2 linked regions of the Macaca mulatta genome follow. Each later gene encodes a partner of the first gene's protein in a complex. Links are inferred from orthologs where the notes say so. Each region holds a gene or a part of one and is shown in the gene's direction. Other genes may lie near its edges. The genes, in order: DPM2 and PIGY.

Region 1 (4,582 bases):
AACAAACCAACGAGATAAATGCCAGAGGGAGTGAACCATGCCAGGCTCAGAGTACATCTCTCCCCAAACCCCCCAGGTGGGGACAGCAGGCCAAAGGCCTCCACATAACCCCTCAGGGAGGCCTGGAGTCCAGATGCTATACTCCAGGATCTAAACAATCACTGAATTTTAAAGCTGGCTGGTTCAAAACTCTTACTTTGGGCCGAGCGCGATGCTCACACCTGTAACCCAAGCACTTTTGGAGGCTGAGGTGGGCGGATCACCTGAGGTCAGGAGTTTGATACCAACCTAGCCAACACGGTGAAAACCCATCTCTACTAAAAACACAAAAATTAGCTGGACGTGTTGGCACGCGCCTATAGTCCCAGCTACTCGGGAGGCTGAGGCAAGAGAATCACTTGAACCCAGGAGGCGGAGGTTGCAGTGAGCTGAGAACACGCCACTGCACTCCAGCCTGGCCGACAGTGAGACTCCCATCTCTGGGGGAAAAACAAAAAAACAAAAAAAACCTCTTACTTTGGGCCAAGCCTCCACGGAGTGCCAGGAATACAGCAGCAATCTCAGATCCTACCCTCAGGGAGCTGACAGGGCCGGATGAACAAGTGTGTCAGTGAATTAAAAGGCACAGGAGGCTGGGCACGGTGGCTCACGCCTGTAAACTTTTGGAGGCCGAGTTGGGAGGATCGCTTGAGGCCAGGAGTTCGACACCAGCCTGGGTAACATAGAACTCCGTCTCTAAGAAAGAAAAAAAACCCTTCCCAGCTGGCTTCCCTGGGGAACGTGGCGTCCCAGTGAGGCTGGATGGATGAGGAGCAGCCGGCCGGTGAGTGGTGGGGGCCCGCGTTCCTATCTCGGAGCTGAAGAAGCGTGGAAGATGATCTGGCCCAACATCCCTTTGTTCTCAGAGGAAGGATCCTCCAAGATCGGGGAGGGGCCTGTGCGTGGGTTCTGGTCCGAAACATGTCTGGGCTGCTGCGAGAGGCAGCCGGTGAAGGAAAGGAGGGGACATCCAGAGGGTGGCCCAGGAGGCCAGGCGATGGTGAGGAGGGCGCCCCCTCTCCACCAATCCAAATCCTCCCCATTCATGCGGGCTGGGGACAGACCCTCCCCCGCCCATCCTAGGCTGAAAAGTGAACATTCTCTGCGCCTCTCCCACCTACAGACTAGTTACGGCCCCCCAGTTCCCGTGTCGGCTTCACCACTGACTCGGATTGGGATCTACCTTTCTCTGAGCCTCGCTTTTCCCATCTGAAAAATGGAACTTCCGATCCCGCACTCCCATCTCACTCTGACCCCAGGACTTTGGGATACTTAGAGATTGGCTTTTGGTGGGGCGGCGACAGGACTGTGGCCATGAAGGCCAGGGAGTCTGGGTCCCCAACTCGGTCCCATTCCCTAGGGAGATTCGGGCAGCAACCGGCCCCACAATGCTCTTGAGAACTACACTTCCCCGATATGCAAAGGGGAGGAGGCGGTTCCTGCTAGTCTCCGACGACGTGGGCCTGAGCCGGCCTGGGGACTACGACTCCCGGCGCGCTCCGCAGCCCAAAGCCGGAAAAGCGTGAATCCGGAACCGGATGTGGCTTGCGGCTCCGGTGACTGAACGCGCGGGGAAATGGTGAGATTGGGACAGAGTGCCGGAGATAGGGGCGTCTGGGGGTGGGGTCTCGGGTGCTCAGAAGCTGGGGCATGGGCACTGGAACGGGGATTGCTCTCCCGCCCCCCCTATTGTACGGACGATAACGCGGAGGCCTGGCATTCTCTCCCAGCCTAGAAACTGATCCCTAGTCAGCCCTCTAGCATCTTTTTTTTTTTTTTTTTTTTTTTTTTTTTGAGACGGAGTCTCGCTCTGTCGCCCAGGCTGGAGTGCAGTGGCGGGATCTCAGCTCACTGCAAGCTCCGCCTCCCGGGTTCCCGCCATTCTCCTGCCTCAGCCTCCCGAGTAGCTGGGACTACAGGCGCCCGCCACCTCGCCCGGCTAGCTTTTTGTATTTTTTAGTAGAGACGGGGTTTCACCCTGTTAGCCGGGATGGTCTCGATCTCCTGACGTCGTGATCCGCCCGTCTCGGCCTCCCAAAGTGCTGGGATTACAGGCTTGAGCCACCGCGCCCGGCCTCCTCTAGCATCTGTTGAATGGGAAGCTTAGACCGTGATTGGGCCGCGACGCCCCGCCTCCATTAGTACGCCAAAATAGAGAGTCACTTCGTCAGCTGAGACCTCCCTTTTCTCCAGGCCACGGGGACAGACCAGGTGGTGGGACTCGGCCTCGTCGCCGTTAGCCTGATCATCTTCACCTACTACACCGCCTGGGTGATTCTCTTGGTATGTCATTCTCCCCGTCCGCTGCTCACCTTCCCGTAGCCCTGGCACCGCCAAAGCAACTTCTATGTAGGTTCTAGGCACGGCGCTGGCTTCATTGCCTGCCTTATCTCTTGAAATCTTCAAAACAACGCTATGAGGAAGATGCCAGTGGTGCCGCATTTTTTAGATGAGATAGCTGAGGCTCGGGGAGAAGGATCTGGCCCAAGATTGCATCCTTAGCCGCTACACTTAAAACTCTGTTTCCAGCTTGCTTTGACTTTTGGGGGAGTTATGTTCCTTCTGGGTTAGCCTGCTGACTCAGGCATGGCGAGCGCCAGTGATATCTGTGAAGGCCTTTAGGATATTTTTTTCTTGTGGGAAAACTTGTTGGTCATTGCTTAAGAAGTGCAGTGTGTTTGGAAGTGCAGAACTTGCTATCCTTTAGGGAAAAAATATTAGTGAAGAATCCCTGGAGGCCCAGGTTGGGAGTCAGTCGAGGATTCCTCATGTACTATTTGCTAGGCTGTGAGTGCCTTAGGGCTGGTCTCTTGTCCCCTGTTCTCTTGTCCCCACCACCAACCTATGGCAGGCACCAAAGCAAGTGCCCGGTAAATACCAATAAGAAATTAAGGAAGGAAACAAACCATGACACCCAAATGCCATAATCTTAAAGAAAAGCAAATGCAGGCCCAGTGCTCTGAATGGGCCAGCCCCTTAGATGCTGGAGGTGGTGTGTTTGGGCTTGGGGGCTGGGCAAGGCGAGCAAGGCTCACCAGAGCTCTGCCCTCGATGCCAGCCATTCATCGACAGTGAGCATGTCATCCACAAGTATTTCCTGCCCCGAGCCTATGCTGTCGCCATCCCACTGGCTGCAGGCCTCCTACTGCTCCTGTTTGTGGGTAAGTCATCACTTCCTCCCCTTGACCCCGGGCAGGGTTTCGGGGGGACCCCACCTCTGAACATGCTTCCACACTTTGGCACTGCTGGAAGCTCTTTGCCCCGAACTCACCCCTGGGGTTTTCCTGTTCATCCTTCGAGGTTGCCAGTCAGTAACCTCTGGGTTTCCTGGTGCCCCAGGCTTTTTGGACTCCAATGACCTGTCCCCCTCTTTCCTGCCCCCAACCCCATCATTGCTCTGCTCACACCTCAGTCACCCTCTTGTCACCCTGGCTTCTAATTCCTGCACCTCTCTCTCTCATGGCTTCCTAGGGGCGGGGACTGTGTCTCCATCATTACTGTGCATCTAGAATGGGCTGTGGCACTGAGGTTGTGCTCAGAAAGTCATTTGGATGAGTCAGTCAATAGCCGGGTGCCTGGATGATGGGTGGGTGGATGGGTGGGTGGGTGAGGTATAGGAGGTGGGTAGGTATATAGGTGGACAAGTGGTTGACTGGGTGATCTATAGATGGGTGGATCTTGTTCCCCTTGGAATCTGAAACACTAAATGCAGCATCTTTGCCTGAGGCAGGCACTCAGCTGGTGTTTGTTGAATGAATGTGAGTGGACCTATGGCTTGACGAATGACTAGGGAGATAAGCAGGTTCCCTGGAGAGTGGTTGGGTAGGTTCACAGCCCTGCGTGTGGGTGGCTCTGCTGTGTCGTGCCCTGGCCTCCCAGCAGCCCTGAGCTTAGATCTTATGTGGCCTTTCTGGTCTATGTATTCCAGGACTGTTCATCACCTACGTGATGCTGAAGAGCGAGAGGGTGACCAAGAAGGCTCAGTGAAGGTCCCGCGGGGATGAGGCTGCCAGCCCCTTCTCTGCTTCCCCTCCAGCACAGGGACCAAGTAGGGGAGCCTGCAGAACCTGTCCAGGCACAGTGGCGCCTCCAGCCTGCCTGTCCTGCAGAGTCCCCATGACATGGAGCTTACCCCTGCCTGACCGGAGCCCCCTCCCTGACTCTCACTTCCAGAAGCTAGGAGGGAGGAATACCTGGAAGACTCCAGTCACCCCCTTCTTGCTCAGGGCCTAAAAGATGCTGGTCTCCCAACCTCACTCTCAGACTCCCTGCCACCTTTTCCCCCGGGTTCTGCCATGTTGCCTCACTTCCCCTCCTGTCACATGCTGACATTGGACTTAGCGGGTTCTAGGGCCGCATGTGTGACCTCTCTGACCTCTCTCCACAAGTCCTGCTCCTCCAGCAAGGCAGCTTTCCTTAGCCTGACACAGCCCAAGACCCCGCAAAGCCTTCTGGACCTGGAACACCTGGGGAAGGACTGACAGACCCCAGGACCAGCCCTGGGCCTCAAGGCATATTAGCTGCTGACCGATCGCTCCTCATG
Region 2 (4,451 bases), on another chromosome or scaffold:
AACATAGGAACTTTACAGTAGTTTCCCTTGAGGGTAAGTCCTGGTAACTGCCCTATTCTCTAGTCCGTTAGTGACTGGGGGGGTAAGTCCTGATAACTGCCCTATACTCTAGTCCCTTAGTGACTCTAATAACCGACTATGAAAGATTTCTTTGTGGGGGAAGGAAGGTGTGGCAACCGGAGACTTTCATTATCTCTTAAATATCTATCCAGTAGAAGTGTTTCCTTTTTGGTATCCTACAAACTACATTAACCTTAGAAAATCTCCTGAGCATTAGTGAACAAAGAACATCAAAAAATTAACTTTTTTTTTTAAAAAACAGGATGGCCCAAAAAACAAATAGACAAAAAATTAGGATGAACGCATAAACATTTCTCAATTTATTTTTACATTGGAGTGGGAGAGAAATTTGAAAATATAAACATATTTTCGTATTCTTTCCTTCTAGCCCCAGGAACTCAAAGTGTGAAATGATAATGCCCAGAGATGCAAAAAAAAGTTCAGGTTGATATTCAGCAGAACGGAGGGAAAAAATGGATGACTAACAAGAAACTTTGAGTCTTCGGACATGGAAAAACTAGATGACATAAAAATAAAAATAGACAACATTAATAGAGCACTAATTTGTGCCAGGCACTTTTCTAAATGTTCTTCGAATGCACAATCACATTTATCCCCTACCTTGACAGAACAAGGTAGGTACAATTATTAATCTTATACAGATAAGTAAAATGAGCAGTTAAGTCACTTGCCGAAGTAATCCGGCTACTAAACTGTGGACAGGAAACCAAGCTGTCAGGCCCCAGAGCCCAAGTTCCCATCTACTACACTGTAAGAAAGAGATCTAACATGCATCACTTCCTCGGAGAGTCGGAAGCAAACCTGGGATACAAATTCACTGAATGGATCACCCATTTGACTAACAGACATCTGCCTGTTACACAGTTATTTAGGCCCTTTGCGGCCTCCAAGCTCATTGATAGAAGTAAATTAGTTGTGCTTTATTACGCAAATACTTCACAATGACTGGGTCTCAGGCAGGAAGAATTTATATATTTTGGAGGGTCAGAGGCCTAGACCATTCCTTCCAGGTTCTCACTTTTTTAAATGAGACAGAAAGAAGTCAAACAAGATTACAGAAACTAATGGTATAGTAAAGACGTACATGAAACAAATGAACGCTTTCAATACATCCATGGCAATACATTCAATACAATACATGACAGTGTGTTTGAAACTTCACTTGGAGGTAACCACGTAGGTCCAAGCCTAACTCCCTACAACTCTGAGATCTGGCCACTGGCTTCCTAGCATCTCTGCCACAGGCCCCGGTGAAAGCCCAGACACCTCGACTTAAACACTGATTTAGTTTGTAGTCTGGTAAGGCGGCGGGGCACCCACTAGAGGCCTCAGCCCTGGGGCTGTCCTACGGCCTGCAGATGACGTCCGTGGGAAAAGCAGTCGGAGCAGGAGCACCCTCGGAACCAAAGCGCCCGCCCCGCCTACTCACCGGCAGCGTTTCCCAGAGCACCAGGGGGCGGGGCCTGGTCGGCTGGCTTGTACTACCGCGGAGCGAGGAGCTCGGCCCCGGCTGGCGGAGGCGCAGTGAGGCCTGGTCTCCGGCTGCCAGACCATGCTGAGCGGAGCACGCGGCAGGCTCGCCTCAGCGCTGCGGGGAACTAGCGCAGCGCGGTCCGCGGTCGCCTGTAGGTGTCTGCACGCGTCGGGCTCGCGGCCTTTGGCCGACCGGAGCAACGAGACGGAGGAGCCGCCCCGCGCCTTGGATCCGGCGCTGCTGGAGTTCCTGGTGTGCCCGCTCTCCAAGAAGCCGCTCAGGTGACTCGCTGGTCTTGGCCCTTCCTTCGCAGCCTCCCGGTGGGCGGAAAGGGAGTGGTGGACCGCGGCCTGTCTCAGCCACTGGGGACTTGTAGGTCGGTGAATACTCTCCGCTGCCATATTCTGGACTCTGTCCCCGCCGGTGCATGCACCTCCCCCTGCGGCGGGCAGAACGGGGGAGACCGGAGGCCAGGGGAGCCGCGTCCCACATCTCCCAGAGCACATAGCCAGCCTGCCGGAATGGCTCGAAGCGTTTTAGGCTTCGCGACCGGCTGCTCTTTGCAATCACCCGGGGACCGTTTTAAAAATGCCGATTCCCCTGCAGCCCCCAAGACGGGCAGACTTGGAATGCTCGGGGGTTGGGACCTGAACATTTGTATTTTCTTTTTTTCCTTTTAAGAGACAGGGTGCCCCCCTACGTTGCCCAGACTGGCCTAGAACTCCCACCTCAGCCTCCTCAGGAGTCGGGAGACAGGCGCCGCCCCCACGCCCAGCTTATTTGTGTTCTTAAATGGTCCCTAAATGATTTCTAACGTACCAGCAGGTTCTTGAATTACTGCGATTCAGGACAAGTCCAAAGCCATCCGGTTTTTAAGCCAAGATAATGAAAAGTATTTTACCCTCCAGATTCTTGTGAAAGTGTCTTGTACAACTGGTGCCTGACAATCTTAAGCAATTCAGCTGTGTATGCTGCCTGGTGGCTCTTAGTTGTGGCCTAGCAGATTTCTTAGAAGCCTCTTTAACCTAGTTTTTGGGAAGACAGCTCTACAGTTTCCAAGCTCCCAAAAATGGAATATTGACAACACTAACGCTAGTATTACAAATCGCATAAACGAAACACCAAAACGTTGTCAGTGGTTATCTTTGAGTGGTAGATTACTAGCAATTTTTCATATTTCTTTTTTCCCATAATAAACATATTCAGTTTTCTCAAACCTTGAAATTATTTGATTTGCGTTTATAACTAGCTCACGGCAGACTTACTGCTTTCCAAAGTTTCCTCATTTCTGCCCTCTCACCTTTTCCAGTGATTTCCTTCTAATGGATTAGTTAAGTTTTTCTACTTAGCATTTATTCTAAAACGAAGAAGTTGATTTTTCTCTAGTGTTTATTCCAGTAGTAAATTAACAGAGATGATTTGGGGGTTGACCAAAGTAATGAAGGAATATTTGGATAAGAGAGGGGGATCTTTTCTGACTAGTATGAAAAAAAAATTAAGGAATAACTTGTGAATAAGGTGAAAAAGAGAATATGAGAGAAACTGACTAAAATGGGAATAATTATAGATTCTAAGAGAATTTTTCTAAGATAAAAGGTTGAATTGGCTATCGTTGCTTTTAATTAAAGAAGACTATTCTGGGATTAACTCCATACCAAGAATTGGATAAATGGTGGTATTTGTTGAAAATCAGGCTCTTCAATTATTTTATTTTTCCACAACTCATTTTGTTCTTTTTTTTTTCCACCCCAGATATGAAGCATCAACAAATGAATTGATTAATGAAGAGTTGGGAATAGCTTATCCAATCATTGATGGGATTCCTAATATGATACCACAGGCAGCTAGGATGACGCATCAAAGTAAGAAGCAGGAAGAAGTGGAGCAGCGCTAGTTCATAATTAAAAAAACATAAAACGCAACAGCCAACTTTTCTTAGTACCATATACCTTTTAAAACACAGTGGCAGGTAATAAGTGGAAGAGAAGAATGTTTCTGTCTCTTCCTACATTGACTGTTCTTATTCCACTGGTTTCTTTAACAGGACTGTTCTACTCAGCCTCTGTGGAAGAAAACTTCCCACAGGGCTGCACTAGCACAGCCAGCCTTTGCTTTTACAGCCTGCTCTTGCCTATTACCATACCAGTGTATGTATTCTTCCACCTTTGGACTTGGATGGGTATTAAACTCTTCAGGCATAATTGATGCAACTAGAGTCAATATGCTGTATACATTAATGGTAGTTCTTGGGCATCTATCTCTGAAAGCTCAAATGGATGGAATTGAGTTTGTGGGAAAGAGGCTTTGCTTTGCGCATATCAGGCTTAGGACTGTGGGAAGCTTAAGTTGCAGGTGCTTCTTTTATTGTGCTCTTGTTCTGCCCTTGTTTTTTGAAGGCTCTGACTTATAACTGCTGTATCAGAAGAAACATTTTGACAGTGTCTTGTTGGAGATAAACATCCCTAATTGACATGTGATGACTATTTCTTATTCCATTCATCTAAAAGTCATTGAAATTTTGTTTTGCTTGTTTGTTTAGCTTCAAGGTCTTTGGTAAAGTCACATGTTAGGGATGACTGAAATAATTCCAAAGGAGTGATGTTGGAATAGTCCCTGTAAGGGAGAGAAATGCATTTGAACGAATGTGATACAAAACCATATAATGAAATAGAAATTTCATGTACTTACAAAAATTGAGTTTGTAAAATTACCTTCATTTCTTTGACATTAAATGCTTATATTAGCAATAAAGATGTTGACACTTTCCCATAAAAAATAAACCAGTTTGTAATCATTTGTTTTGTTTATTTGTTTGGTCACAGAAGTGTTATTGATACTAAGGGAAGTTGTAAAACTGCACTAAATATAGCTGTGTTTAGAGAGGTACTTAATACCT

The links.
Region 2: DPM2 (region 1) and PIGY share a complex: the UniProt entries of both Homo sapiens proteins name them as parts of the glycosylphosphatidylinositol-N-acetylglucosaminyltransferase (GPI-GnT) complex. The link is inferred for Macaca mulatta from reciprocal best matches to the Homo sapiens genes DPM2 and PIGY.

What each region holds. Positions count from the first base shown.
Region 1 is NC_133420.1:19,758,598-19,763,179, forward strand, and holds the start of DPM2 (dolichol phosphate-mannose biosynthesis regulatory protein), read left to right. Parts: upstream 1-1,587; 5' UTR 1,588-1,615; coding exon 1,616-1,618; intron 1,619-2,232; coding exon 2,233-2,322; intron 2,323-2,974; exon of another isoform or gene 2,975-3,019; coding exon of another isoform or gene 3,020-3,097; coding exon 3,098-3,200; intron 3,201-3,967; coding exon 3,968-4,026; 3' UTR 4,027-4,582. UniProt on the Homo sapiens protein: Regulates the biosynthesis of dolichol phosphate-mannose. Regulatory subunit of the dolichol-phosphate mannose (DPM) synthase complex; essential for the ER localization and stable expression of DPM1.
Region 2 is NC_133410.1:97,843,142-97,847,592, reverse strand, and holds PIGY (phosphatidylinositol N-acetylglucosaminyltransferase subunit Y), read left to right. Parts: upstream 1-1,544; 5' UTR 1,545-1,633; coding exon of another isoform or gene 1,634-1,836; intron 1,837-3,307; coding exon of another isoform or gene 3,308-3,449; 5' UTR 3,450-3,544; coding exon 3,545-3,760; 3' UTR 3,761-4,339; downstream 4,340-4,451. UniProt on the Homo sapiens protein: Part of the glycosylphosphatidylinositol-N-acetylglucosaminyltransferase (GPI-GnT) complex that catalyzes the transfer of N-acetylglucosamine from UDP-N-acetylglucosamine to phosphatidylinositol and participates in the first step of GPI biosynthesis.